Linked DNA regions of Drosophila melanogaster. The protein of the gene in region 2 interacts with the protein of the main gene of each other region in a pairwise test. Each region holds a gene or a part of one and is shown on either strand. Other genes may lie near its edges.

What was found.
Region 1: the proteins of Gsc (region 2) and CG31740 interact in a two-hybrid assay, tested with the Drosophila melanogaster proteins (one large-scale study listed by BioGRID).
Region 3: the proteins of Gsc (region 2) and Orai interact in a two-hybrid assay, tested with the Drosophila melanogaster proteins (one large-scale study listed by BioGRID).
Region 4: the proteins of Gsc (region 2) and otp interact in a two-hybrid assay, tested with the Drosophila melanogaster proteins (one large-scale study listed by BioGRID).

The regions. Positions count from the first base shown.
Region 1 is NT_033779.5:18,003,437-18,010,194, reverse strand, and holds CG31740 (uncharacterized protein), read right to left. Parts: upstream 1,243-6,758; 5' UTR 1,097-1,242; intron 961-1,096; 5' UTR 888-960; coding exon 702-887; 3' UTR 501-701; downstream 1-500. Other genes in the region: CG42635 (uncharacterized protein), read right to left, coding at 1,369-1,767; CG42634 (uncharacterized protein), read right to left, coding at 1,857-2,201; CG42659 (uncharacterized protein), read right to left, coding at 2,478-2,627; CG5693 (uncharacterized protein), read right to left, coding at 3,194-3,412.
Region 2 is NT_033779.5:590,012-598,230, reverse strand, and holds the start of Gsc (goosecoid), read left to right. Parts: upstream 1-3,545; 5' UTR 3,546-3,850; coding exon of another isoform or gene 3,851-4,024; coding exon 4,025-4,643; intron 4,644-5,597; coding exon 5,598-5,959; intron 5,960-8,219.
Region 3 is NT_033778.4:17,849,350-17,857,446, forward strand, and holds the start of Orai (orai), read left to right. Parts: upstream 1-1,512; 5' UTR 1,513-1,748; coding exon of another isoform or gene 1,749-2,111; intron 2,112-3,945; exon of another isoform or gene 3,946-3,991; coding exon of another isoform or gene 3,992-4,912; exon of another isoform or gene 4,913-4,947; intron 4,948-5,790; 5' UTR 5,791-7,461; coding exon 7,462-8,097. Other genes in the region: CG30323 (uncharacterized protein), read left to right, coding at 3,992-4,912. UniProt on the Drosophila melanogaster protein: Pore-forming subunit of inward rectifying Ca(2+) release-activated Ca(2+) (CRAC) channels.
Region 4 is NT_033778.4:20,898,584-20,906,989, reverse strand, and holds the start of otp (orthopedia), read left to right. Parts: upstream 1-3,575; 5' UTR 3,576-4,204; intron 4,205-4,696; 5' UTR 4,697-4,931; coding exon 4,932-4,962; intron 4,963-8,360; exon of another isoform or gene 8,361-8,406. UniProt on the Drosophila melanogaster protein: May be involved in the development of the central nervous system.

The DNA.
Region 1 (6,758 bases), about 17 Mb from region 2:
AAGCAATGAAAATTCCGACCTACCGCAATAAATTCCGCGGAAAAACAAAGCAAGTGATGCCAAAATAAGAGTGAAATGGCCAGCTCACACACACACATGAATGTAAATGAAGTGGAATCACCACCTCAGAAAAACTCAGGGACACCTCAGACACGGCCCTGTAAATCGCGCTTATCCAAAACACAACATGGCATCAGGAGGCATTGGAGATTCAGTTTCATTTTCATTCAAAGATTGAATAATAGAAGGGGGTGTTCCATCCCTACCCCAACAACCTTTGACCTGACACAATGCTCTACATTCTATGTTTTTGTTCGAGTTGCGCGTTCGAATCGCGACTGCGCAATAAACCTGATGCCCCAAACAGCTGTTCTAGGCAAGACCTAGGACAACATTTGCATCCTTAACTGGAGGCTGGCCATCCACGTTTACATTGACGTAATCCACTTGCCAGGTTGGATCTATTCGGTGTTGAGATATATCACAAAGCAGTTCCTTTTGTACTTTAATTCATTTTATTACTGAACAGCTTATAATAAAAATTCTTTATGTATACGAGAGCTTAGTTGGTTTAGCCCCGGCCAAGGCAAAAAGGAATTCGAACAGCAACATATTTCTCCAGCAGTCTTTTCCAGAAGGTTGATCTTTAAATTGACTTGTTACCGCTTGCTGCCGTATTAATGCCTATGATAGCGGGCGCTTCACCAGCCGCAAGGACACGAGCTGCAGCCACCACAAGGACCACATGGACCACAGCAAGGACTACAGCAACCTCCACAGGGACCACATCCGCAATAGGGAGTTCCTCCCATCAAAGGAGCCAGGCAGCCGGGTGGGCAGGGTCCAACGTAGAAGGGATCGAAGCTGCAGCAAAGCATCAGAACCATCTTGAAAGTTTGGATTTGGTAAAGGACACTGGAATCTCTTCTAAAATCTGCAGGAGGGGCTCAAAAGGTACGGCTGCAACCATTCAAAACGGGGTTTGTTATTAACAAAACATTACCAAATATTTAAAAATTACTATAGGGAACAAAGCAATTTTACAATTTTTAAATTGTATAACTTTTTTATTCAATTTTAACGAACTAGAACGTACCTGGGATTTTTTTTCCTGCTGAAGAAATACGTTGAAGTTAATCCTTGGCTACGAATTTAGAATTTTTGTTCAATTTTTCATATTGTTTTTTTTTGTGTTTTATTTTACGAAAGAGATGTGTTCAGTCCAAGCTGTTCAAAATGAATGAGCTCTCTAGGTTTCGAATCCCACAAAGCCCACAAGATGAGTGAAGTTTATTTCCAAGGCCAACTAGAGAAAACTAAAAATTTCCTTTTTTTTGCTTTCTATTCGACATAGTTGCTGACTAGATCCTACTCCTCTTCGGTTAATTCTGCCGCTGGCGGTGTTTCAGGTTTTACTACTACCGGTTCCGAGTCCTTTTTATCCTTTTCGTCTTCCTTGGAGGAGCCCTCGGAATTATGTTCACTGCCAAACTTAGGAAGCAATGGTCCTACAAAGGCACATGCCTTGCCTCCAATACTTTGTACCACGGAGCAGGCGCCATCCATGCGATCGCCCTCTACTAGAGGAGTTTCGCCCTCGACGGCGGACAGCTGATCCGCCACTGGACCACCGCGCCTCACAAGGTCAGCGATCGGATCACGGGTTTGGTTTAACACCCTGCCACCCACTTCAGTTAACGAACGGGAAACTACCATAAACAGGGCCACTATGCCCGCAACTCCGATGGCCGTGTGAACCATTTCCATATCTTGGGCAAAGGAGCAGGATCTTCTGGAGGATCAGGAGGGTCGATGTCGGATTTTTCGATCGACCACGATGACAAATAATTCTAGGGCTACTCTCCAGCCATCGCCGAGATGGTATTATAGGTCGAACGGGCCAAGTTTCGGATACTTCGCGAAATTTCATTTATCAGGTAGTTAATGTCATCCGAACTGACCACCTGCTCCTGGTCGACATGGTGCTCCGGCGTTGAATCGTTTACAATCAAGACTATTTTACGAACGGGCTGAATCATGCCGGATACATCGATCACGGGCTCCGACACATGGTGATCAACCAGAAATGCCTGATGCATGATGATCACCAATTGGCGGATTACTGGCACCACGCGATCGAGGACGTTGATTGCCATTGGGGCCAGTACGTGGTGTACCACGTGATCCACAGACGAGGACATGACCAAGAGACTTGAATTTTGAATTTAGAAAACTATTTTCACACAATTTGCGACCTGATAAACTAAAATTCCCAGGAGTTCTAATTTGAAATCTAAGCCATTTCGATTGGAATATTTATATTATTTCCCCAGCAATATTCAACAGTTTGGTGACGATGAATCAATTTTATTATTTCTCTACATAGATGTGTGCGAGGCTAATTGGTGTGCAGTTTCAAAGTTCAACTATATTTGTTCCCGCCGTTATTCTTGCATTTTATACAGGTACTCGTCTCGTCAATAGCTGCTATAGCAACGACTGTGCCAGCCACCGGGGGTGTATCCTTTGTAAATGTCGAAGTTGCACGGACATACTGCGCATCTCGGATAGGGGCCAATGTAGAAAGGGTTTATGGCCGGAGTCCAAGGACGACTTAAGTAAACCATTTTCAGCACTCGAAAGAAGTCTGCAAATCTTATTTTATAAATACATCTCCCACATTTTCTCTTTCGAAACTCACCGGAAATGGAAGAGAAAAATGAGAAATTTAAACAAATGTTTGACCAGAACAACACGTTTCGTGCTTGAAATTTGAATGAAGAAAATGCGTATGTACGCTTATGTGTTATTTTGTTGACATTTAAATCAAGAATGCTGGTTTAAATTTATTTGACTTCATTTTAGATAGATCATAAGAAAATGAATTAATTTTATCTGTATTTTTTATCCACAGTTATTTTGTGCTAAAATAGAAAAGAGCTGGTAATTTGAGGTTAATATATATTATTATTGTTTTTATTATTTATAGATATTCATTTTATTTATTTATTATTATTATTAATTTTTTTGAAATATAATGTTACAATATGACGGTTCGATGCCCAGGAGATGATGAGCTAAATGGGTTTAGCTCAAGATGTTTGAAGATATTAGCAACACACAACAAGGTTGTGTGTTCAGCACATCTCCAAAGGACTCCTGGTTCATTTTTGCAGCTTTGCCTTTTTCCCCACTACTTCTGTTCCCGGAGCTTCGGTTCTTTTTGGGCTTTCTGGTCCAGTGGTTGCTTCGCCGCGTCCTTGTTGGATTGTGGGGCGGGATTGCATCGGGGTAGTTGGGACTCCGGGCAAACTCCGCACTCCGGAACCGTGCAGTGGCCCTCCTCCAAGCAATCGGGGTCACAGCAGGGCGGATCGGGTCCAATGTAGCCCGGATTAAATATGCAAGGCATGCTGCAGCACCTCCACTGAAAACGAAGGTCGAGGCAGATGGCAGTGGCAAATTGGGTCCCACTTTATAGATTTTGTGAATTTACATAGATGCTAACTGGGTGCAATTTTCGGGCCGAGTGAGGCTCATAAATGTTCTCATTTCCATGGGTATTGAAACACAATGGAACGGGTAACTAGATGCCCGAGTTGCGCAAATCTCTAAACAAAGCTAGTTAATTTCGTACTAGAATCGATGCGAATAGCTCCCACATTGAACTCTATCTCCCAAAATCCGAATCAAAGTCCAATCGCCCTTAAAATCACCGGTTAGTGCGTGCAGAACGCTTATAATTATTTCATAATCGGGCAACACTTCAGTTTTATGGTGACAAAAGCCAGCGGAAAGATAACTGCAACTGCAGGCCATCGAAACTGGGCCACAAATGGCTGCAGGCACAAATATGGAATTTAAGTTGAAATTAATGAATAATTAAGCTGCTTTGGGCAGACGCTCGCAGCGGAAGTACAGCATTTGCATAGCTAACACAATGAACTACATACGGCCGGACAAGACTTGGCCGTTCATAAATTAGATATGCAAATGTAAATGCGAATGGAAAACTAACGGCAATTCCTTTGTCAATTAATCAATCAATCAACGCAGCCGCTCGCTGCGATCCAGAAAGCGATGCGGAAATCACTTGTCCCACATATGTACCTCTGCCCCCGCCCAGAAACTCCATCCATCGCCATTTCCCCCTGGCCACTGCATCTAGCTGCATCTGGCTGCATCTCCATTCATCTACATCACGCATGCCAATTTGCCTCAGCACGGTTTTTGATTGCCCGCTAAGTTCGGAGCGTTGTGAGCCCCCATCGATGCTTATCCCCCGGTTTTAAGGCGATGGCAGAGTCATTAGCATCAAAGGGCCATGGTGATATGACCAGCGCTCCTGGCAGCTCATCTGCACTGTGGTCTTTGCAGTGACCCAAAGAGTTTGAACCGAAGTGCTTTGACTTGGGTTAATTTGTGGGCTTTCAGCTTGGAAAGTATAAAAGTTTCACATGCATTGTTCAAGCACACAAAATACCGACAAAAAGACCGAAAAGGGTTTATTTTAATTAAATTGGATGTGATAAATCGAAAATAGTGATGTTTATGATTGAGGTAGATAGCATAATTTTAGTCAACACTTTAAGCTTATCATTATCATTAAAATATAAATAATTTTTCGGATTCGACCCACTGTGCAGCGTTGTCGGCTTTCAATGTCGCCGGCTGCAGCCATCAAAGTCGTGTGCACTATTTGTGTAATTTATATTCAAAGCGTAACGCGGTGCGTCGACTGCGTGTGTAGGTGGGTGGGGAAATGGGCGGTAAGTGGGTGTTGGGGCGGAGTGCTAGGGGGACGGTTCACTTGGTGGTTTTGGGACCGGTCACTCCGAGCAAACGGACTCTAGTGCCACTGAACTAAGTGCAGTCACGCGAACTGCTTTTAAGTGGCATAAGCAGAAGAACCCAATTCCTGCATAACCAATGAAGTTAAATATATTAGCTTACTCATTTTATTGCTCAGTTCTATAGACTAATAGTTTGAAACTAATGTGCAAAATCAATTAATTATTAAGAGATTCGAATGAGAAGCTCCTGTAACAACACATAACTCTCAGTGTAACCCTTAGATAGAACCCATCCACACTGCGACATTGTCTATCCGACTTCCGTTTGTCGGACGTAGTTCTATTACTTCTTGGATTCCGTTTCTGTTTTTAATAACTCAAGTTCGAACCCAAGTAGGCACACTTGTGCCGTCGTTACTGTTTGAGAAATGTATTGGAGGCCTGACAAAGTGACCGGAAGATGATACTGCAATAAAAAATGAGCACCCACGCAGCGACATGGAACACCATAGAGTGTTTGGCTTGGAAATAGAAAACCAAGTGCTGGAAATGAACATGAACCATGTTTTATATGCTCTGTGAGTTGTTGGATTTTCACTACTCGTAGTTTTTCTTCTTTTTCGTTAGCCATTTATTTACAAATGAACAATATTTATGGCCTCTTTTTGAAAGAGTTGCGCGGTCTGTGTGTATATATTTTGGGTTCCTATGCGATGGGGCCAGACTTCCGTCACAGCCAAAACATGGAAACGATCTGTTCATACTGAACATACATAGTTGTGTCTATTATTTTGTGGTTTTATTTCGGTTTTATGCGCGGAGCGTACCAAACATCGATTATGAATTACAAACTCTAAACGGATGGCAATCAGAAATGGTTTTGCTGAATAAATAATTCTAATTTGCCAGCAATTATGGGCTGTCAAATACGATTGTCCACTGATATGTTTTCGATGGTCGCGGAAAGTGTGAACTGAAGAACAATTAATAAATTTATAGTTTTGTGGTTACCGGAATGAAGTTTAAATGAATAACATTTTGGGTTCGGTTGACGGATTTGTCTAAGCTCATTACAATTGAGTTTTGCTTATGCTATCCAAAAAATGAGGTTTCAAACTTTATTGTATACTCTTAAAAACAGACTGGCTTGGGCATGAATTCTTATATGTTAATCCGGCAAAATATCCATGGATACGAAATCTAGATCTTCGAAAGCCAACTGGATTTATGGCTGTATAAGTAGCTAAAATTATTCCCAGCCTCTTATTACATCTAGCAAGTTGCAATTAGTGTTGTCACGGGAAGAATTTATGAGGAGCAATTGCAGAGGCTAAAACAGGAACCCTAAACGACGGCACTTAAGCGATCATAACTTTGCCCATGATAAATCGAACTGGAATAGCCTGCAGAAATTCCAGATTCTGGCCATGCAAAGCAATTGGACAAGTGGACAAAGGCGGTTACAAAGGCGAGGAAGTGGCCCAAAGAACCTCGAGCAGCTGCTGCCGCTGAAAGGCGAGACCGCTGAATGAATTGGGCTGTCGTTGTCTTGGCAATCAGCGCTACCGGGCATAGAAAGTTAACACACCCGAAACCGGCTTCGGTTTCAGTCGATGCAGCCAGTTGAATTTGCCAGTTGATGCACTGCAAAAATCTGCTCTCTTCTATACATAACTGGATATAGAACATCTATACATAAAAATCCATTTAATACAAAGCTAGATCAGTTTTAAGGCGTATTTAATAAATTTAAAAATTAATTAAATTTATAGAACAATTCTTTACTAGTCTATCTCTAGTTTTCTCAGTGCTCCAAAGTTGCTGCTTGCCAGTCACAAGTGGCAGGTTGCCAGTTGTCGCTGCCGCAAGAAACTTGCCTCCATACTGCGGCGGATGTGAGTTCCTGGGGTAGCAAGAGGAGCAACTGGTGGAGAGGGGCTTCTAAGCGTTTAGCTTGGCTTTTGC
Region 2 (8,219 bases):
ATATCTTCCCAAAGCAAATCAAACAACCCGACAATCCCTCCCGTAGCCCAATATCAAACAGCCCTGACCAAAGTGTGGCCTTGTTTACGCAAATACGAGCCCAAAACAAGGATCTTTGTGCATGTGGAAAAAAGCAGCTGCTCCTGATGGCTGTCCTCTGTCTCTTTCCGACGAATCGCTATCTCTTTCTGGCTTAATTCGGCGATCCATTTGTCGACCATTTTGGTTTCTCCTCACGCCCCAGGTCGCTCCTTCCATCGCATCTCATTCATCCGCACGGGTTCTCGGTTTTATTGCACCTTTTGTCCCATCCAGCCCTCTCTTTCTGATCCGATCTTTCCGTCTCTTTCTCCTCCCCGCCATGCGTAATCGATGCAATTTGCACGCTTACGCATATCGCAAGATTAAACTTATCCCTGATCCCTGAGCTGACTGATCCCTTGATGCGACTGCCATTGCCATAAATTGCTTCTATTTCCTACACTGAGAGTCTAAATGTCCAAAAGGGTTAGAACTGAGAGCTGATGAGAAATTTGTAAATAAAATTAGGAACATTAAAACTTCGTTGTGAAAACGCCCATAAGTCGTGAGCCACGGAATCGAATGGGATCCGTAGGTAGGGCAGGACATTTGGAATATTCGAGGTTTGATTACCCATAAACTATTTCTCTTTGTGTACCTCTGGGATCCGCTGAAAAACCTTCGACCGGATCAACTGCGCGACGTATAAAACGATATTTGGATTAAACGTTTAATTGACTGCTGAGCAAAACCGGTGTGACCATATAGAGACATATCCAGGGGTTGCTGCTGCTGGCGGGGATTAGAGCCCGATTCCGATGTCGAAGCTTCATTACCATATCAATGTCGGCAGCAGGCGACTCAGCCTCAATCGCAAATCCTCAGCACGGGATTTGGCTGCTGAATCCGAAGAATCTGATTCCGATTCTGGTGCGGATTCTGCTGCTGATTTCGATTTGGCTTCTCGAGGAAATTCGCTTAAATTTTTAACAAGACAAATACGCAAAGCACACGCCCCTCCCCCGTCTATTTTCCATCTCTCCCGGTTTTACCGCTTCTGGGAAACAATCATGGAGAAAGGGAGAGAGAGAAAGAGAGAGAGCAGGGAAAACTTTTCTAATTTTGCACAACTGGAAAATGTGGCCGTGGGCGTTCAAAGAGAAATGGCAACAGAAAATCGAAATAAAAATCATCATCATCGGGAGGGAGCCAAGAAAAAGTTGAAGATGATGATGGTTTTTTCCACATTGTTTTTCCCGCTTTTTCTCCGGCGCTCAAATGGAAAAGTAGAAAAACCTTTTATTCCACAATGTTTGCTTAGTCCTTTGCCAATTGAACTTTTTCGCACAGCCAATCGAAGGGGTAGTGGTACTCAGCCAAATACAATACTTAGACAAGTTAATTTAATTTTTTATTTAAAATTCAATCTGCGAACTAAAACAAAAAGTGCACAGCAAGTGGGGAAAGAATTCAGGTCAGAGGTCAGAGTAGGTAGAAAAGGCAACAAAAAGTTTCATGTGAAAAAACAAGTTGAACAAATTCTGTGAGGAAAATAATAGAAAAAAGTGCGTCACATCTTTTGAGCTTAGCGAGAAGCGCACTCCCAGAGCTTCCTCCTCTTTTTCCATTCTCAACTCAATATTTCCTTTACATTTACAACATCGTCATCATCGGTTTTCCCGTCGGGAGTTGTTGGCCATGTAAGAAGTTCAGTGTAAAGGCAAATAGCGAAGCCCAGAGAAAACTGGGCGGCAGGATCCACTAAGAATCGGAGGGGAAAGAGGACCAGAAATATCCTGGTCCTGCGGTCCTTGGCCTGCTTAATTATTCAATAATTTCTAAAAGCATTTGGCCACATGCGACGTCATCAGCCGTCATCCTTTCATCCTTTTACGGCATGTGACAGGACCGCCCCTCTTCTTCCGTGCGCCCCCGTAATCAGTTGAACACATATACCCCCAACACACACTAAAACATCTGCATTTATGTAAGCCTCCCTCCCTGGACCCCTCCTCTTTGTCCATCTTAGTACACAGAGCGATTTGGGTGCCCTTTAAATACTTTCTTATTATTTAAAGATATTTCGAAACCACCCAATTTAGTAGTCAGTGTTGATTGATAATTTATCAGGAACGCCTCGTCTTCCATGATTCTCCTAGCAGAATTAAGTTTAGTTAGTATGTAAAGATGGACCTTACTTGGGAATTATTTCTCCAAGTGATCCCCATTTTTCACCCCCACATAGGTGACATTGTAAGGACTTTTCGGTTCATTTGCTTTTCCTGGCTGGATTTCCATTTGTGATTGTGGGTGTGGTTTGCAGAGTTGCATTTATCATTAGTCGTAGCTTAGCTTTTGTTTTCCTGCATTCGAGTGGACGAGGAGGGGGGGCATATCTAGGGAACGAACCCTGGCGGCCATTGGGGATTTTGCACTTGGGCATGTTTGATGTGGAAACTTTAGATTAAAATATTTTCCTATGCACACACACGAGGTGAAACAATAGCGACGAGGGTCACCAAAGTGCCGTAGATTATTGAATGAGCGCTCCCAGTCTCCCTCCAGTGTAAGCTTCATCTTTATGTACGAGTAGTAGCGTGCTTCTTTCTACATAAAACGTTCACCCCTTAACCCTTTTCAAGCTCCCAACGTCTGCAAGAATGATGATAAAGATAAAGCTCAGAAAGGGAGAAAGAGCAAGAGCAGCGCTTCTCCGTGGGCGGATTGAGCGCATAATGATGTTTATGTGTTGCCAGAAACATAAAAGCATTAATTTAGTCATTATCTTCTTAAGATACGGCGCCAGCAGAGGCAGTGGAGTATCAGAATCCCCTGAACGCGAGAAGAGAGCGTCAGGCTTTTTGCCACCCATAATTTCCATCAGCATTTTTATGCTACCCCTGCTACTCACTCTGAGTGAAAGCGAGAGAGCTTCTGTTGCCATATCCTGCGCACCCGCTTCCCTTCTCTATCGCTCCCTCGACAGCTATCTCTTTCTGTGGGGGCCGCGGGGTCTGTCAGTGATGACTTTATCTGTATAAATAACTGTCAGTGGCCAAAGAAAGTAAGTAGAGAGCGCAAAAATACAAAAAAATACATGGAAGCATTGGTGTGAATTGGGTGGAAAAGGAGGGGTCTGGTGAATGGGGCATTATCTCTGTAGCGCCATCTTTATCCTGGACCTCCTGCCAGCCTTTAACCTGGAACACTGCAAGATGGGGGCCCGACACCATCAACCACCACCAGCTAGAGCGAGAGAAAGAGATACAGAGGGAAAGCAAAAAAGGGAGGGAGGATACAGAGAGAGGGAGAGGCGTCCAAAGCCAGAGAGTATTGCCAAGCAATATGGTAGCGTTGAGGGCGTGGCTTCACCCCGATTTCATTGGCCAACGTCGAAAAATGTCCGCTAAACGAGAGAGCAGATGTGAGTTTGTATCTGGCATCTGAGAGTCTGTATCTATATCTGTCGAGGAACTGGCCTAACGACTACTCAATCGACAACTTGTCGGGCGGAACGCTCTCACAACACTTTCGCAGCTCGAGCGGACAAGAAGGGTTCCCGGTGGCAGAAAACCTGTGGAAATAATAAAATATAAAATCACGACGCGATTGCAGTGCGTGTTTCTAGTGCGGTTTAGTGAACTTGGCATCGATCAAAACACACTAATCCAGTGAAAAAAACCTAGACTTAATATTCGCAACATTGCCACCATTACTGAATTAAAAAAAATTGTAAAGCGCTTAGTGCTTCAAAAGTGCCGCTTCATTAAAAAAAAATCAGTGGGGAAGAGACTTTTTCCTACTCGAAAGCTTCATAGACTTCTTCAAGATTCTCTCCTCACTGTGGACCCCTGGAGGAGGCGGTGGAGGCACCACCACCACCACTCCCAGCACCACGCCCGACATTCCGCCCTCGAAGGCCAAGTTCAAGATCACCGTCGTGAGCACGCCCAGCCCCTCCCCGCCGCCTACGCCCCCTCCGGCTGGATCTATGCTGGCACAAATGGTAGAGACAAATTCCCCGCCGGCGGGTTACACCCTCAAAAGGTCGCCCAGCGATCTCGGCGAGCAGCAGCAGCCTCCAAGGCAGATCTCGCGATCTCCTGGCAACACGGCCGCCTATCACCTGACCACCGCCATGCTCCTGAACTCGCAGCAATGCGGCTACTTGGGCCAGCGATTGCAGTCGGTCCTCCAGCAGCAGCACGCCCAACACCAGCAGTCCCAAAGTCAAACTCCGTCCTCCGATGATGGCAGCCAGTCAGGTGTCACCATTCTGGAAGAGGAGAGAAGAGGAGGAGCCGCCGCCGCGTCTCTCTTCACTATCGACAGCATTTTGGGCTCTCGCCAACAGGGTGGAGGCACCGCTCCAAGCCAAGGCAGCCACATCAGCAGCAATGGCAACCAAAATGGACTCACCTCGAATGGCATCAGTTTGGGTCTGAAAAGAAGTGGCGCCGAGTCCCCAGCCTCGCCAAATTCAAACTCCAGTTCTAGCGCAGCCGCCAGTCCCATCCGACCGCAGAGGGTTCCTGCCATGCTGCAGCATCCTGGCCTGCATCTGGGTCACTTGGCGGCTGCAGCGGCGAGCGGTTTTGCCGCCTCTCCCTCGGATTTTTTGGGTAAGTCTATCAATCCCCCTATACTGAACGCACAAGCCCCCTCAGCTGAATTTCATTATGAAGACAACTTAAGACGAAACCAGTTCAAAGGATGGTTCTTTAGATAAAGAAATTTTAACATTTTGAAATACCTTATTTCATGCATCTAAACTCTGAAATCACCTTAAGGCAGCTCACTCATGCAGTCAGGAATCACCCATTCAGCCACTCACCCACTTTTATCCTGACATCCTCATCCTCTCCCACTCAACCGAACCACACCCATTCCGAAGCGAGTCCTGAATGGCATTATTCATAATTAGGCAATGATCCGTGAAAGATGATTCCGCATTTCCTCTCCATTTTCCTTCGATTTTGCGGTGAGAGGATTTGCATTGGGCTCTAAGTCTTAGCTTGGGCCGGAAAAACCAGGGAAATCCGGGATGCTGGGGTGGCTTTAAGATGGGCTCAGGCCTTGTGTTGATTCGAGCGTGGATCTCAGGCGCAGATTTATGCAGAATACCGCTTAAATTCATTCAAAGGCTCCCCCGCAGGACATGAATATTAAAAACCTGGTCGCAACTTTTTTCCCCAGCTTGCTGCAACCGGAAACGGAAGCCACACATACGTTTACAGATGGGGTCAAAGGAATAGATCCGTTTTTGCAATATGTTATCCATATATCATTGTAATATTCTTCGTAACGATATTTACATGTTTTCCAAGTACAACATATGCTGAAGAGGGTAAATAGTTTTACATTTTACTTGAACTGATACCATTTTTGTGTCTACTGTAAGCCAAAATGGCGGCAGTTTTATTTTGCGCGGTTCGTTATGCGCATTTTTAAGGATTTACCCAGGAATATTCCACTTACACCCATTCCCGTGGCCCTCTTTTCTCCAGTTATATGATGATGATATGACTGTTATTCCAACCAGGGAATAATGAATTTTCCTTTTGTTTTCCCTACAGTGGCGTACCCCAACTTCTATCCAAACTACATGCACGCTGCTGCGGTGGCGCATGTGGCCGCTGCTCAGATGCAGGCACATGTGAGTGGAGCAGCCGCTGGATTGTCGGGTCACGGGCACCATCCGCACCACCCCCATGGGCACCCCCACCATCCACATCTGGGCGCACACCACCACGGACAGCACCACCTCAGCCATCTGGGTCATGGACCTCCGCCGAAGAGGAAGCGTCGCCATCGCACCATCTTCACGGAGGAGCAGTTGGAGCAACTGGAGGCCACCTTCGACAAAACACACTACCCAGATGTGGTGCTCCGGGAGCAACTTGCCCTCAAGGTGGATCTCAAAGAAGAACGAGTTGAGGTGAGTTTAAAGCTTCTAATTTTTAATGCCGAAGAAGGTGTAAAAAAGGGGGCAAGACTAAGTTTAAAGCATAACTTTATAGACATTTAAAGTAATTTTTTTAAGGCCGCTTTGTCACCACAAAAAAACAATCAATGCCTGGCTTTAGCTTTTGATCACTGTGTTCTTCCTAGCAGCCGCCCACACTCTGTGTTTAACATTTGGCTCTAATTTCACGCTCGTTTTAATTCCCCGCGTGAAACCAATTGAGTGCTACACCCCCGCTCCTCTACACTCCACTTAACCAGAATCAGATTCCGAATCCGAATCTCTGGCATCTGCATCGCAATCTCTATTCTCTCCAGCGAGATTCTCCCTCTGAGAACTTCTACTTGTTTATTTAGTTGTCAGCGGCGTACATTTTGAGGGGCTTCTTCGCCGGCGAAAGCAAAACAATGCCAATCCCAATGATTCACTTAATTTGGGTAATGGGACTCGGGATACAACCGCATGTTTAAACGGATGGTGAGGGTTATTTGCTCGTCGGTGGTTGCCACTGCTGAATCGTATCATTGGTAATGTAAATATGCAGGGATTCCGCCTTCTGCGCCCTTGTAAATCCCACCCCGGGGGATGAACCATCCCTTTAACATCGGCAATTGTGATTCAAAGTCCATTAGTGTCGAGGAAACCCAACAACAAACAAACAAATTGAGAGGTCACCAAGGAAGAAAGTGACGACAAAAGTTGACAATTTAATTTGTTCACATTTTTGGTGCATTGATGGGTGGCTATTTCGCGTCTTTGATGAGGATTATCCACGCTTTCCGGGCTACGGGCCCCGGGTTCCGGGCCCCCTTAGTTTTCGTTTCCCTGGCAATATGTTTGTCAACCGGTCAAATGTTTAATCTAACCCATCCAACCCCATCTCACCCTCACCTTTCGCAGCGCAGGAAGGCGGACAAGTGCGACATTTGTTGACACTCGAAGGGTTTGGGCTTATGTTTAGCCGTGAGCCTAAGACAACTTACACATTAACATTACTAACCATTTAGGATAATGAGAGGCGTGGCGTTACTCAACCCGCAGGCGAATTGACGCCCGCTTTTTGATTAGGCGACAAATTTAACCCGCGGCGAGCATTGGAATCCAAAGCGGATTAGAATGCAGGTTGTAAGTTGTAAGTTGCGAGGTTGTTAGGCGGGAGGAGTTCTACAATAGGATAAGCAAATGAAAAGCCGAGGTGGGGAAGATTTTCCAGCTCTTCAACTAATTGGAATTCAGCGGACTCGAATCTGCTGGCTCACGGGGGCGACTAATTAACATACAACACACAAAAAGAGACTTCAAACTTGTCTCTGACAAGCAAAGTGGATGAGGAAAGAGACGGCAGCAATCGCAATCCCAATCCCCAAGCAAATCTTGTGCTCAGTCATCGCTCGTCATTGACTTAAGCAGCATAATCAACTTCAGGTCTGGCTTCCAACTCGGAACCCCGGCTTTTGTGACTGCTACTGTTTAGCATATTTGCATGCCAAGAGTTGCCACTCGAGGCCTCCGAGCCCCCCGATTTCGGGACCGTCTCTCTAAGACCCCAGCCGCTCCATAAGTGGCAATAATTATTGAAAATCTTGCCTAAGACAAACAGCAGCAATAACAAAAGAGAAAACAAATGAAAAAAGCGAACAAATTCGAAGCCTACACATCCGATGCTCTAACGGAAAAGAGTCCGTTCGGTCGATGATCAATTGGGTACCAAAGGCTACCCATTTACACACCAAAAGCCAAACATGGCAACTAAGTTACGTCTATTAGTTAGGCTTGGATATAGTCTAGATATAGCTAAGTGCATACCAAAAGTACCAGAAAACAAACACCAGAGCTCCGGACCAACGTCTCGTAACTATTCAGTTCCCATCCTGGGATCGTTCGGCATTTAAATGATCTGCTTATTTTGACTTCATAATTTACAATTATTATTTTTATTTAGCCACTCGAGGCGAGGGTCGGCCGGCTTGGGATCGAGCCGGATTGGATCGGATTGGTTTGTATGGGATTGGAACGCCAAACAGTAGCTCTACCTGTAGAGCAAACAAGCCCGTTCTCTTTGTCCGCCTGCCTCTCTTTTTTCGCCTTGGCTTCTGTGGTGCGTGCAAGTCAAATACGCCTAATCCCGCAGCTCAAGTGATCGAGGTGATTTCGTTCTCCGATCAGCCAGATATGGAGGGATATATGTAGCTTGGGATGTAGAGGAGGAATGGCTGGGCTGGAGGGCATTTCA
Region 3 (8,097 bases), on a different chromosome or scaffold from region 2:
ATGTGTATTATTATTATTATTATTATTGGGCCCTAACCCCTCTCGCTGACCCGCTTATTCGGATGCCAAACAAATATGGTATAGCCGCCTGATAACCGATAATGGCATTTGCGCACATTTGTAACACCTTCAAGGCGACGCACGGTTCACAAGGAATTTCTAATACGTCCGCATACAGCTACGGACAGACGTATAGGTTAAGTTAGGGAATATCGATGATATTTATAATTCATTTGAATAACCTTTTTTTTTCCAGCAAACCGTTTTGTTAAAAGTTAGTGTGAAGGATAATTTTATAGTTACAACACTATCGTTTAAAAAACTTTTAGATCTTTTTTCAGTTCTACTTGTTGGTTTCCTTGAAACTGTTGTATTTTGCCGAAAGAGATTTTAGTTATGGGTGCAGAAAAGTATGCACTAAAAATATAGCTCAAAATTCTAATCAGAACTGCTTATGTTAAAAGCCATCATTATTCTTTATAGACTAAAATAATATTTGTAACCTATAATCTTTTTTTTTGAGATTTTTATAAACAAAGAAGATATTGAAAACATTTACCACTTAACATTCCATTCCTGCAGGTGTTTTACAATAATATAAATTTTGTTTTTAAAGAGTGTTTTTTAGCCTGCAGAGCTAACATTTATAGATTATCATGTCATGCGGCGTTAATTATGAGTTTTTTAAGAAGATTTGTATATCGGTCATTTATGGTTTAGCCCCTATTATTTTGGCCGCGACTGTTACTATGCATACATGGATATATGGATGTACATACTTACATACGTGAGTGCTCGCGCTTTGGGCATATCCAATAGATAACGGTTCTAGGTCTGTTCATCGGCACATGACTCGCTTTAAATTAATTAAAATTAATTCCCAAAGCAAACCACAGAACAAGCAAAGAATAAGGGGTGGAAAAGCGAAGAAAGCCACTTGCGAAACTGTGGGTGTGAATATTAGAAGACTGACAGAGAAGGCGAATAGCACAGTTATGCGAGAACCATACCGCACTCCTCGCACTCATTCAAAATTTGCAAGTTCAAGGCGGATAACAAAAAAAAAGCACAGAAAGAGTAGCGACAGATGCAATGTGCATACACATATATGTAAATGCGTATGTACATATGTTAGTACACGGGCAGACCAAGAATAAAATAATTGAGGACTACGCCGGAAGAATGTGAAAGAAAATTAGCAAACCAAAACGGCAAGAGAGCTGTTTTTGCAAGAGCAAGAAATAGGAAAAGAACCGAACAACTGCTATCGGCAATTTGAAATGTGTGTCAGGGCGTAAAGTTCTGCAAACGATTTGATTAATTTATGTGACTTAGGGGGCGTATGATTAATTAGCCTGTGTCGCTTACCAATTACTAAATATAAAATCACTAACACAGTAAGCCACAAATATTTCGATCTCACAGAAATTTGGCGCCTTTTGCTTTAAAATATCGGTAACAGCTGATGGCAGGGCTGGCAGCACTAGTGCAATCGATAGATCGATATGTTGGCGTCACGCGTTAGGTCATTTCATACATGCACACAAGTAAAGCATCGAAATGCTGTTGAATTAATTTGTTTTTTGTTTAGTTTACTTTCAAACCTCGCCGATCGTACTTAATTAGCACCTTATATTTGCGACGTGTCGAATTGCCTAACTTATTTTGTTACTCTTTTGCTTGCCTGTTTTTCCGTGCACCATGGCAGACGTACTTAAATCCGCAGGAGAAATCGCTAGCCAAAAATCATGTCTGTGTGGACCACGGCCAACAATTCGGGCCTAGAGACGCCAACAAAGTCGCCGATCACGTCGTCGGTTCCGCGGGCAGCGAGAAGTTCTGCAGTGATCACCACTGGAAATCACCAGCAGCACCACTTCCAGCACGTTGTGGCCGCCGCCGTTGCAGCCGCCACTTCAGTGGCCACCGGTCATCAGTTCCAGCAACAGTTCCCGCTGCACGCACATCCGCATCCACAGCACCACAGCAACAGTCCCACGGGTAGCGGCAGCAACAGCAACAACAGCGCAGGTTTCCAGCGCACCAGCATCAGCAACTCGCTGCTGCAGTTCCCGCCGCCCCCGCCCCCTTCCTCACAGAACCAGGCGAAGGTAAGTCCAATAACAAATCAATTCCCCAATCTCCTATCTCTGTCTACCAGAACTTTCCCCACTCCCACGACCCCAATCTTAAAGCGATGCTATGGAAGCTGCTCTCTCGCAACTCTCTCTATCTCTCTGTTTCCACCTTCTCCACTCACTATCTCTCTCACACGCTGACAATGGGCGCATTCAGCAGTTTAATCACGGCTCTGTGATCATGTAAGCTGTGATCGGTGATCGGTCACGAGATTTATATCATATAAAATGTAGATCGACTTTTAAGATTATTTAGTAAAAATTCAGAAGGAATTTCAATCATGAAACTTATTTACCGTACTCATGCCATTAATTAGTTTACTTTTTAATATTCTCTTTTGTGTGATTACCGTTAGAAAATTTCCCAATCAAAATAAAGCGAAGAAAGCGCAATGACATTTGCTGAGTGGGCTGCCAGATTTAATATGTACATTCTACATAATTTAGCTGAAGCTATATTTAGGTGTCTAAAAACGATATAAAAAGGACATAAACTAATTTGTTGTACAACAAGTATTATTTGTTAGTCAGTTGGCCGAAATGAGAATGCCAATATTTGGTATAAAAACTTTCAAGTTTGCTGTCTGTCGATAGTGATTGAAAACAATAAACTTTTATTAAAATTAGTTATTTGAAACACGGTCGATTAACATTTTTCAGTGAGTAAGTCGGATATATATTTATATATTTTACGAATCCTCGTATATTTGCGAAAATATGTTCTTCCGAAAACGGTGATAAATAAATCGGACTTCTAATCGCTGAGTCCCATTATAAATCACGTATTACTCATATCCCCGAATTCGCGAGACTCTGCTGAATGCGCCCGTTTGATTAAGCCACGCAATCTGACACATAAACACGGCCTACGTTTCAAGTCGAACCAGATCACACAGACACTCGAAAGTACACACACAACGCAACGCACATGCATACGTATAAATCACAGGTATGACGACTGAGTTAACTGCCAAACCTGCTGAATTATTGAACAGTGTTGTTTTTGGCGAACAGCACTGACAATGAAATTGCAAATGGTCATGGAAATATTGTAGAACCCGGCGTCTAATTGGCTCCAAGAGTTGTACGTTTCTCTTATCGCGTCTGCTGTTCTTTTGTTTGTTCGCTATTTTTTATTTTGTTTTATTTAACCGGCGATAATAAATACACGCACCCACCCATCGAGCTGCAAAGAAATGGAGGTGCTTCTTGGGTCGGCGTCTCTGAAATCCAGGTGTGTGTTTGCATACGAATTTTGCCAGTGAAAATGAAACAACAACCGCCAGCTGACACCTTCTGTTTTTTGTGCTGCTTTATCGGCTGGGACTTATGTCTTATGTATTTTTACTCACATTTTTTAAGTGGTTACATTTTGTTTATTCTGGAGGAAACGCAAGCAAACTGGTTCCATTTGACAGGCCAAGTTATTATTAACATTAGCCAGATTCGTATTTGTTTATGGCCAAAAAAGGAAGGCACTTTCCATCTCGATGGATTCAGTTGTATCGACTTGTTTGGTTTCCCTGCGATCAGCTATATTAAATTTTAGTTTAATAATTTTTTGTACATTTGTGTTGGTTTTCAATTTCAACAGCATGATCCTCGTGCCATATGTTTTCCATAAAAATGCGATAAAAGATAGAGAAAACAATTGTGTTTATTTGTTCAATAGTTTTTCGACGTTTCAAAAGAGTATGCAAAAACTGCTGCTTGGACCATAGAACTTGTATTAAAAGTTTAGAGAATAGTAATTCTTGTATAAATTCCCACAAAAACTAAGTTGCTGTTGATTACTTTGTCAACTTTATCTGTAAAAAAAAAGCTATTCATATGTACCATCCGCCTTATTTGGGATGCAGTTCCTCCTCCTGCTTCTTCTGACCTCATCTGCGTATTCAAATGAAGGGAAGAAGGGGCTTCAGAGGAACCTCTACGTAACGGACAATTATCACCAGAATGTGGTGTCTATACGAACGCGCAAACACATTCGCCATTGGGGTGATAACCACTTCTGTGCCGGCTCTCTGCTCTCCGCCTGGTGGGTCGTCACCTCCGGCTGTTGTGTGAGCACCAGGCCGGAGAGCACCCCAAACCAGCCGAGTAATCGCAAGAATCTAAGGGTTGTCGTCTTCACGCCCAAGCGATTGAAAAAGCCATCTCCCAAGAACATATACCACGTGCAGAAGATTGTGTTGGACGAGTCCGCCATAAGTGGGTGCACAGAATTGGCTCTGCTGAAGCTGGATCGCGGCGTTACTGGCCAAAGGTTTGCCATGATGCTGCCGGAAAAGGAGTTGAATAGCACTTGGCTTTGCAACTCTCTCGGATGGGGCAGGATTTACTACGTAAGTTATGTATATATATCTGCGATGTGCCCCGCATTCAGCATGGTGTATGATAACCCAGTTACTTGGTTCCAGGACGGACCCTACTCAAGCGAGCTTATTCAAATCAGAGCTCAAAAGATTTCGGAGTATGAGTGCAAGCCTGACTGCAGCAGATGCCTGTGCATGACTAGCTATACGGGCAGGGGCAATATGTGCCAGCAGGACTTGGGCAGTCCACTCTTTTGCGATCACTTCCTGTACGGCGTGGCGCGTCGGGTGCACACCTGCGATGATGAGGGCTTCATGTTTTACACCAATATCTATCAAAACCGCAAATTTATCGAGGACACCTTGAGTGGCGCAACCTGGCCAAAAAGAGTCCTATGTTTTCGTCTACTTCTACTTCTACTGGTGTTAGCGTCGCTTTCGGTAGTTTCATCTGATTGAATATGATATTTCAAACAGGAAAGCACAGGATACATTCTACATATTTAAAGGACTATATACAGTAGATCTCAAAATATCTATAATGAAGTACTGACTCATTTTTTTTTAAATAGTTTCTGACTTCAGTTTAATAATGTCAATAAGCGGTGTTACCACCTACTCGTACTCTTGTCGTAGGATATTGACCCACAATATGGTTTTTTAGAGCATTGTGTCCGTGAATTCGAGTGACTTTTCGTCTGTGAATTGGATCTTGATTGAATCTCGATAGTTGAAGTTCAGGGTCGTCGTGTGTGCGTGTGTTTAATCACTCGATTTGTCTTCCCCATTCATCAGTTTGATGATCGCTGATCGATTGCCAAAAGTAGCAGCAGACACTAGCCCCTAGCCCTTACCAACCGCCCCGTTTCCCCTTCTCACCCACTCACCTTGTTACTTTTTGTTTTCCTGTAGTTTTGGTTTCGCCTCTTTCGATTCTTTTACTGTCTGGTAGCTAGCTCTCTTTCCGTTTCTATTCCTTACCCACTCTCTCTTTAAACGCTTTCATTGAAATGGTTGTTTTGTACAGTGCAACTTCACTAACCCGAACTTTTGCTAGTCCTACTGAATAACTATAATTAAAAAAAAATCTTACCAATGAAAATTAGTATATTATTAGAAGCATTTTTTTTTAAATTACAAAATTATTTTTAAAGTAGTTTATATTTGTTGTATCTTTTGGCGTATTTCGTTGTTTTCTTTTAATTTTCGGTAAATGTATCTATATTTCTTCTGTCGTAGATTGTTATGTTTTTATATAAGTTCGTTGCTTGGGAGGCTTTACTGTCATAGTTCGATTGCCATTATAGTAGCTGTTGTTGTTTTTTGTGTCATCGCAGGCAGGCCGCACCGTTCAAATTGATTGTCGAATTTGAATATACGTCGTCGTCGCCGCCGCTCACCGCCGGTGCTTACCGCTCTGGGCAGAGCCGCCGTATCAGTTAGTTGTTAACTTGCCATCGCCGAAGGAACAAGAGGCGCTAAAAGCGAAACGCGGACGCTGAAATGAAATCGAATCGAATGTGCACCGCGCACCTGAATTAAATTCGTGGCGAAAAGGCAAGAATTACTATTCGATTCGTCGTTTTTCTTGCGTGGCTCTTATTTTTTTTTTTGTCTTGCGGAAGTGTCGCCAGCATCCGCGACTGTTTTCCGTTTCAGTTCCTAGCTTTTCGTGCTTTCCTCTCAGCTAGCAGTCGTTAGGGTACAACTCTTGGCTTCGGTCATATGAAAAAAAAATTTATATAAAAAACAAAAAACATGTGAAAAAGTCGGCAACAAGTGCCTGCGAAAAACTGTTTTATTGACACACGTATTTTACATTTTATAAGAACCATAAATGTGTGTTTATAAATAAAAAGTAAATATTTCAACGCACCCAAAAAGACAGAGAGATAGCGGTGAAGAGAGTGAGAGAAGAGGGTCACAAATTTTCAGCGTGCGTGTATGTGTGTGTGTGTGGATAATTGTTGATCAATTGTCATGTGCAAAAAAATAAAAACAATAACACCCAGCGAAAATCATTCAGCATCATCAATGGGAGGAAGTATTGCAAAATCAACCAAGTGAAACGGAACCTAATGAAAATCGCTGAAAGCAACGAGATTACAGTGACAAGTGGCAAACGAACTCTCTCGAACAAAGATTGCGCTCCGCCAACCAAGTACAGTGAATCGTCGTTACTGGCATTCGGAAATCCGCAAGATATCAATGCAAATACATATGTCGATGTGATTCACTGACAGAAGTTAGCATAAAAGAAAACATATGTATATCTAAAACCAGAAAAAAACAACGATAAGACTAAATCACGAGTTCGGCAATAAGTTGATACTTCCGAGAACCAAGAACAATGGAATGAAAAGTCGCCAAGATCAAGAGTAATAACTTTAATATTCCAAAGACCCAAAAACTGTAAAAGGTCGTCAATAAAATAAATATTCCTTAGCCGCCAGACGAGAGAGAAATATCCATGGAAAAGCCATTAAAATCCATAACGCCCAGGTTCAAATGGTTAAGAAATGAATAATATAACTACTGCGAATCAAGTGCTGTGCAACAACACAACGGCAAATTGAAACGTTCTAAGAAAGTGCTCCATAATTGAGGCAGGGCGTTGTCGATAACCAACATGGGACCTTAATGACCTGATGGAATATTTTTTTATTTATTAACAAATGCCAGACATTGGAAGGCAGCCGATCGGTACAATTTGTGGAGCATAAGTTTCGATATTTTCACTTTAGATCTTGCTAAAGAGCTTGAGAACTGAAATATTAGTAAGCTAGGATCTTTAACACTAGAAAGGAGAACCTATTAGACTGTATACAGAATCAAAATTCAAGTTGAAGCGGACTTGTTGCTTTTCTTAGAACTGAGAACTAACAGCAAAAGATACATTCTTAGCCTAGTTTAGATACTAACTGGCTAATATTTATTGTCGCAAAGAGAGGGCATAGAATATTTATCAGACTAATTATATCTGATCCATCCGAGAGCGAGAGTAGTCCATGCCACCCTTTGAAGAGGGTGAATCCAAGCCAGAGGAGCAGATACCTCTAAAGCCGCCCCGACGCCACAAGAAGATGAAGTCAGCGGACCAAGAGGCCGCCCAAACGCCGGCGGAGGATCACGAGGAGGAGCAATTGCTGCCGGGCAGCGGGACGAGCAATCTGCGTTATGCCCGGGCCAATTTGAGCCAGAGCAGCCTGATGCTGAGCCACCAGCAGGGCTCCTTCGAATCGTCAACCGAACGAACGGCGAGCAGTGAGACCCTGGATGTAATGCCGATATCGAGGCGCTACCAGGTGCATCCACAGCCGAACCGCTTGGGGATTCGGCAGCCAGCCTCGGCCTTGGCGAGCGCTCTGCATGCCACTGCCAGATTGGCGGCCAGTGTGGATGCCTATACGGCGGCGGCTACAGCCACAGCGGCAACCGGTGACTACGGCGATTATATGCGCCCGCAACCGAACCTCGGTCACGCCCACCAACTGCCCCTCACCCAGACAACCCAGACAGCCCAGCCCCTGCACCACCAGCTGCCCGCTCACCAGCTGGGCAATCTGAGAGCGAGCAATTTTGTGGGGTCGTCGCGGTATCTCTATCACAGCCAGTTTAATTCGAATTCGCCGCAAACGAGACGC
Region 4 (8,406 bases), on a different chromosome or scaffold from region 2:
AATTCCATTGCACTGCCATCAGTCACTTAATTGATTTCATTAAGTATTTAAAAGATGAGCTAAAACACAAAAAGATTGGTATTATCATTCTAAGCAAGCGCAGTTTCTGATTTGGTTTTATTCAGATAAAAAGAATTAGTAAGGGTGACATAAACATTTCTTATTTCTTACAGCGCTTTGAGAGATTAATATGATTTGAAATTGGAAAAGGTCCTTAATGTTGCACTGGCGCCATCTACCGTTGGTAACGATGAGCCCGGCCGTTCCTGGAAACACAGGCAGATCTCGTTTTGACGATAGATGTCGCTGCAATGTGTTCAAAAGCGTGTCATTTAGAAGTATAAAATCTACAGAAAGCTTTTATTGAGTTCAACAACCAAAGCTTATTATATAAAATGAAATAAAATATAACTCTATTTAACATTGAATTATATAACATAATGAGTACAAAAGCGTAGGATCTTTCGATTTTAAATATTCACGTATATTAACCCTTCAATTTAATTTGTCCAAGTAAATAAAGTCGTTTGATTGCTAAGCAAAGAAAGCGAGAGTTTTTAGCTTGTAATGATAAAATATATACATATAGATATACGTATATATATATTTGTTAATGCTCATATTTGCCTGCACATATCATAGGAAGGACTATATTCTGCAGCTGCGAGCGAAGCAGAATCGAGAACTTTAATTCAATATTTGAGTTTAATGCTTGTAGTTATGTTTTTAGTTGTAAGCGCACTTAGCTTCAGACATTATGCCAATTTTCAGTGCAACTTGATACTGTATTGAAACTGGCTTAGAGTGGCAACAGCGAAACAAAGGAAAGAAAAGAAACAGACAAATGTTAAGCAAGAATAATGCGTTACACGAAACTGCACTAAGCTCAACATTTTGGGTTTTACACTCCTCAGGGTTTTTTTTTTCTTATTTATCTATCTTTTATGCGCCTCCTTGCAGCGCGAATCAAATGAAAGGCAGTGACAAAAGGATGTTTTTTTTTTGGAGGAGCAAACTTTGAACTCCACTCGCTCTGTGCCCGTCAAGGAGGCCAGAATCCCTTTTTTGGCCTAGACAAATTACACCCGAGCTCACCAGCGGACTCATCAGTCAGAGTCGAGAAACAGTGAAAATCTCTTTGGGTTCCGGGAACACATGGCAGCCTAGGAGCAAGCGGAGCGTGGAGTAGTGGGAGGCGACAAAAAATGGACTCCATCATGTACATGAATGCCCATGCTAATTAGGACTGTCCTGGGGGGACGGCCAACTGGACCTGGGCCAATTAAATGCTTAAGCTGACTTTCGGGTTCGAGCTTGTCATAAATTTTGACTGATTATGCGTATTCGTCTTTGTCGTAGCCCCTTCTCTGGCTCCTTCCAACGCCGCCCCAAGTGTCCCATCTCTTTCCACTCATCTCATCCTTCGGCTACAAGTACCCGTGACAACTGAAGAATTTTCTGCGGCATCCGAACCCCACCTCCCAAGTGTCCGACGCAATTCATCATTCAATTAAATTGACCGCAAAGAGCAGCATTTCACATCGCTCAGTTCGTCGACATCGCCTTGGGTTAAGTTTTTAAAGTTGCCCAAAGTCGAATCCTTTAATGCCTTGCCAGCATTTTTGCTGCAATCGATTATCCTTTCAATAAAATGCCGCGGAGGCGAGAAAAAAAAACTTTTACCCCCTCGAAATTTAACGCTTTCGCCCGCCGCATCCCCCTGACCCGAAAAATTGGGGATATCTTTTGAGGTTGATTTATGCGCTGGCTTAAAAGCGAATTGTTGTGAGCTGCTAACTGGAAATCTGTTTGACTGCACGTACTTGTTCTGGTTCTCCACACATAGCCCTCCACACTGAAATCTCCATCATCGACTTTCCGGGCTTAAACGATTGCCAAACAAAGTCAAAAGAGAACGTCGTGCATGCCGAAGGATTCGGAATCCTTTGCATTTGAGCTGCGCTTTTTTTTTCCGCCATGCTTCTTGGTATGCCGGTCCCGGCAACTCAAGGATTTCGCAGCTGTCCTGGTCACAGTCACTATCTGCTGCCCGGATTTGGCCAAAGTGATTTACGACATGCTCATGCCAGGCATTCAAAATGCGGTCTAATTGAGACTCCTTAGATGATTAATCCTTGGCTAATATGGCGAAATTCAACAAGTCTACGCCGCACATTTCCCATAAATTTATTTTTCTTTTTGCTGCCGATAACGCCTTTGATTAATTAACACACTCGAAGTTTTTTTATGTACCTCATGTGAGAAAAGGAAAAAAAATGAAAAGTGATGCATATGCTCTAATAAGTGAGCCCAACAACGAATTGAGATGTTATCACGATTTATTCGGCTTGTTTACTTTATAATACACTAACAGAAAAATTTCTGTTCGATGTTTTCGACATTTGTGTGGGATTGTTATAAGTATTTCACACGTTAGTATGCAAGTTTGTGAAATACAAGACTTAATAGGTTGTGTACAATTATCAATCTAAATTTATTACGCCACTTATTAAATTTTTTAAATTATTTTAGAACGTTTGTCACCCCGCACAAGTGTGAACCTTGAATTATGCTCATTGCAAAACAAACTACAACTGCTGCGATTTTTTGCATTCTTCTTGTGGTTTTAATTGCTACCTAGAGTTTTTAATTAACGCCCCCGATTTAGCTGTATGTATTTGTCGGAGGGAGAAGGCCAACATAATTTGCAGACTTTTGAGGGGCGGTGGGAGGACTTTGAACTGGGCGCAGGAAGTGGGGTGGAAATCCTTTGAATTGCGGTTGCCATGACAAACTCTTATTTCGCCCGGCATTCCGTTGTCTGGCTAATTCAACGTTTGTGCAGCATGCAAAATATTATAAAATTCCGCCAAATGTCGGAGGTACTTCCCCTCCAGCAAAAAGACGGGCAAAAAAAAAAAACGGAAACAAAAACTAATAAACGACAACAGGTGAGGCTGAAAGCTGACACGTGGCATCAACAACGCTGAGTAAGAATTCAAGGCGCATTTTTGGGAGGAGTGGACTTTCAGCAATAACTGTGGCCCAAGCGCCGGTTGCCAACGCGACCAGCTGTGGAGTATAGTTGAAGTTTTTCGAGGGGAATCGAGGTCTGTTTCGGCATCGATGATAGCCCGCCTATCGATAGGCGGCAGGACCTGTTATCGCCGAGGGCGCCAAAAAGTGCTATCGTTCGGGGCCACAAGCTCCCGAGTTCCCTCATTCGTTGGTCTGCATTGAGGGCGTGGTCTGGCCTACGCACAGCGAGTATAGCCGACCCGCTCTAGCAACCACTTGGCAGGGCAAGCGCGAACGAGTCAGCATGCTTGGCTCGACGGCAAGATGGCTGTGGGCTCAGCTAGCTGTCTCCTTTCCTCGCCCGCCCGGGGCACTGGCACGGTGTGTGCTCTTTGCGATTTTTGCAAATCAATGCGAGAGATAAGCCCGCTGGCAGAGATAACGCTTGACTTAACCGTCAATTGTGCGAGGGGGTGGCGATTGAATGCGGCGCCAGTGCGCAGTCGTTGTTGTCGAAGTTATCAGGTTTCGTAGTCAATTCGCTTTGATTTTTTCGCACTGCCCTCAAATGCAAGCGAGCAGCGCTACGTATACGGCGTACAGCTCCCATACGATACAATAGTGCGATCCGAAACAATTCGATCCGTTTCCGTTTGCTAGTGCCTAGAAAGCCGTCGCACTGGCAGAGACCATTAACCGAATTGATCTAACTGGGAAGTGCCAAGGAATAACTAAGTGAAAATGTGCCCGAAGTGTAAAAATGCTATCAATTAAACAGTAGAAAACAAGGACGAGTGACCACACCCGAAGGTGGAAGCAAGCCGTGTCCTCCGCCGGACAGTGTCCGGCTGTCAGTTGGTCAAACAGTTCATCAATAAACGATTCGACTTCCGTTTCATTGCGTGTCCCTAAGCTGTGCATGTCTGCGTGTCTGTGAGTGCGATTGTGTGTGTGTGCCAGCTGTGCGCGTGTGTGTGTGTGTGTGTGGGAGCTAAGGAAACTTTTCAACTTCCGGCCAAGTGACTTGGATTTAATTTCTTTGGCTTTTTTATGGTCAAGGCATTTAATTAATTTTACTATGGCAATTTGATCGTCTGCTGGCCTGAACTCTGACCCCAGCCCATAACCCTGTGGCATACACAAAAAGCAAGGAGGCGGAAAAAGGACGAGCGATAGGAGGAGCCAGGTGAGTCCTTGGCCAAATGAGCAATAAAACTCAATGCAAATGCCCACACAATCGAACTTCGGCAGAAGTTTCTGCGGTTAAGGAAAGTGAAACGGATTTAGTTTTCTGGTTAGTCGCACAATAGTTAAATTACCCAAATAGCTGGACATTTGACAGGGGTCAAAGTTCAAGAGAGGGCTGGGCCAAATATTCACAACACACGAGCAATTAGTATACTTAAATGTTTTGCCAAGACAAAAATCAAACATTCATTTATGATTCCAGAAATCTTGATACATTGTAAGCAGTTTTATTGCATATGATTGTATACTATAAACATAAACAAAAACTTTGCTAAACAAGTTAATGACCATTTTCTCTTGTCAATTTAAAAACTTTTAGTATTGAAAATTAACAAGTACTTCCAAAAAAGCACAAAGTCACCTATGTATGTTTATATTTGCGTTGAGCAGAAGCCACCCATCCAAAAATAACAAATCTGTTTACTTGCAGCCACACCCATTTCCACCGAACAATTGAGATGTAATTTGCACCGCAGGTGAACTTCAACTCCAACGTTCTGTGATAGACGAGTATACGAGCAGGAACTCCCATTGGGATTCCGCCACCACCAGTCGATATCGATTCCCGATTCAATCAAATTGGATCCCGAATCCTAACTTTCGGAGCAGCAATCAGAAACAGCGACAAACTGTCGACTCTGTCGATCCGCAATTTCTCGGCAAACATGCTGAACAATCTTGGGGCCAATGTGCTGGGTAAGTTACGCCCCCAATCCTCGATAGCGTTTTAAGTGCGGGCTGCGGGCGGGAGCTGCGTATAATGTTGCAATTAAGATCGCCAAGTGAATTGCGCTAATGTATAATAATGTGTGTATTAATCCATGGCATACGATCCGCCTGGCCATAATTAAACTAATTTCTTGAGCACACCCACAAAAGATCGGAGGGGTAGTTAGTCGTACTTCCGATCTGGCGATTGCCATCGCATCTCCCATGTCTGCTAAATGGCCTATAATTGAGACGTCTAACCAGATGGCGCCAGGTGTCGCGTGCATTTAGCAATAATTAAGTTGTGTATTTAACTAACTCGGCAAACCTTCTCCGATTCCCATTCCCATATGCCTATGCCCATTCCGAATCGAGTGTGGGTGGGTGTGTTTGTGTTAATTGATATAATTGCTCTTTTAAATATGCCGCAAATTGTGAATTACATTCACACATTCACCCGGCGCACGCACATAATTATCAAACTGTACTTGTGTCCTCATATTAATATATTAATAATTCCGAATACACATATGTACATATGTATGTGCGTGTGTGCAGGTGAATAAATTATTTTTACCACACTGTTGATCAACGATTCAAGCACTTTCAATTTTGGCAATCAATTTGTTGTTAGCCGTCCAACACTACCAGAAAATACAGTTTGCAAGTGCATTTGCAACTGCAACTGCAGCAGCCATGGATGAGTTATGGCTCGCGTTTATATTCAATTTTTATTGCCAGCATCCTTGCGTCCTTCGAAGCGTTGCCATTAATTACTTTTATTAATTTATTGCCATTTTTCACGCGCCAATTGTCGCCGCTCGGTGCACGCGGCGTATGCGTAATGTCCATAGTTGCCATTGAAGATGGGTGTTTAATTAAGGGCTAGCAAGCGAAACTGATCTGACGGTTTGCTATCTGCCATGGATTGCGACTGCCAAAGTTGGCTTTTAAAGTTTTCGCCGGCTTCAACTTTAGCCAGCTCCATTTGCCCACGAAGAACTATAAATTTCAATGAATCGCAGTGCGGAATCCTTTGGACAAATCCTGCCCGCAGTGCTGGAGTCTGCCATAATAAATTTCGTGAGCCTTTTTCCGAGTTTCGCACAACAGAGAGGCCAAAAAACATTTGCATACTGGGTGCGTGGCCGAGAGGGGCAAAAGTGGATGCCCCCCTAACCACCCCTTTACAATTAAGAGCAATTTGCATGCAAAAGAAATGGCAGAACTTTCCCCGGATTCGTATTGTCTCTCCCCTACTAATGCTTAATTTGCATGCAGCGAAAGGAGCTCGAATGGCGTTTCGTTTGGGCGCTTTTTTCGTGAGCCTCGCATTAATTAAATTAATTTCATGATTGCATTTGTAATTTGCACAGACCCCCTTCAGGTTTACCCCCACCCGTCCGTTGCATCCACGAAATATCTGCGCGTGCTTCGCTTTGTGCGTTCGGCATTTTTGCGGTGGCCTAGGCTAGTGAAATATGTGTGCTTAACCCCGCTGAACACCGCTTAACCCCCCACTGCCATATCCGCTTTGCATTGAAATGTTTTGCGGTTGCTGCGGATTCTGTTCCCAGTTGCGGTTAGTTGTTGGAGCAGCCCAGATTCCATGCCATGCCATGCCATGCCATGCCATTCCATTCCATTTCAAACCAAACCGAATCGGAGCGATCTGCATCGTAGTTTGCCAACTCGAGGCCCAAAGGCCAAAGCCTATGTCCTGCTAAAAACCGCACAATTTCCAAATTTCAATAATTATGCACATTGCTGAATGCACATGCAACTGACGGCGAATCTGGATGCAAGTGCTCGGCCATGAAAGTCCGTTTCTGGCCATTCGGCTGGCCATTCCGGCCAGGTCCATATATTTTGCGGGAGAAATCGCGTCGTTCGCTCCCAAAAACAGGCAAACTGATTTGCGCAAATTGTGCAAATTGCTTGCGCGATAAATTCATGTTTGCCAATTTTAATTAATTAATCGCTTTGTGCGGTTTTCATTTCGTTTCGCTCCTCTTTCTCGCCGGACCAACTAAAATGTTCGCTTCGGGCCAGATGTAAATCTACGTATCTGCGTCCTGTGTATCTGTGTTGCCACTGCAATGTTTACAGTTTCGTATTAACACTATCGCAATTTTGGCCAGGTAGCAAATGGAGGACCGAAACTAAATTACGATGATAGATAACAAAATTATGCCCTATTAGTACGCGTCCTAATGATTTGGGAACATGGATAGGTTTTTATGCCAGTTTTGCGGTTAACACGCAGATTTTGGAAAATGTTTGCCAGCTTTCTTATGTTCGATGGGAAAATTAGTAATGGATTTAGGCGTGAATTTAATTTAAATCAAAATTAAATTTTTGAAAGTATAAACACACTTTGCATCCAGTTAAAACTTTAATATAAGTAAGACAAGTGGTTAAATAGGTTACTAGAATATATTTCTGTAAAGTCTTAACTTCCATTCTAATAAAAACTCAAATAGGTTCAGCTAATAGCTTACTCAGAATGCAGAAACTTTAGCCCTGAATGAGACTACTGCGTCATCTTGATCTGCATACACGATGAACAGTTAGGGCTGCTGCTTTTTAATATTTATGTGTTACAACTGTAAAAGGCGAGGTGAAAAAATCAAAGTTAGACCAACTAACTAACTAGCCAAGCCGGGCCGAGTCGAGTCGTGTTTTTTAGCCGGCTAAGTGCGATTTCGAGAAGTGGCGCTATTTTATGGCTCCCAAACGTGGCCCAAACACACTGCCCATTCAACACACACACACATACATATACGTATCGTATGTAGGTACAATATTTGAAATTCGATTTGAGAAAACAGAAGGAAGCGGGAACAGTTGGATGTTAAAAGTCGCACTTCTTTGGAGCAACGGACCAACGGCGATGTATCTGTGGATATGGATGCGAGTATCTATCTGCTCGCAGCAGCGGATACATGTTTGAGATGTTGCCATCGAGCGTGAATTTCCAGCTGAGGGATCGAGCATCCAACTCGATGGAGATATCGCACCTAACACCGCGCCTTAAATTTACTAATCACGAGCAGAGAGTTTGAAGTTTAAACGCCATTCGGTGCGTGCTGCGTAATGCCCTAAAAATATATGTCAGTGAGCTGGCAGCTTTAGATACATTCGTATCTCTGCTACAGTTTGCCACAATTGCAGCGTCTCAGTTCCGACCGGATTGGAAACTCTTTTGGGGCTGGCAGTTTCGATGGGTGCAGGGGTGGGGAGATTGGTTTGGTCCCGATTGGGGACGTCACCATCTGAAAATCGCTAATGAACAGTAGCCGCACTGGGTGTATGTGTAAAAATTAGCACTTTCCGGGCAGCGTTTTAAAACGCAACAACTACAAACGGCCTGCTTCAGGGAATGTCGCTTGTAGGAACTCCATATCTTTTATTTGTTGATATTTATATTTA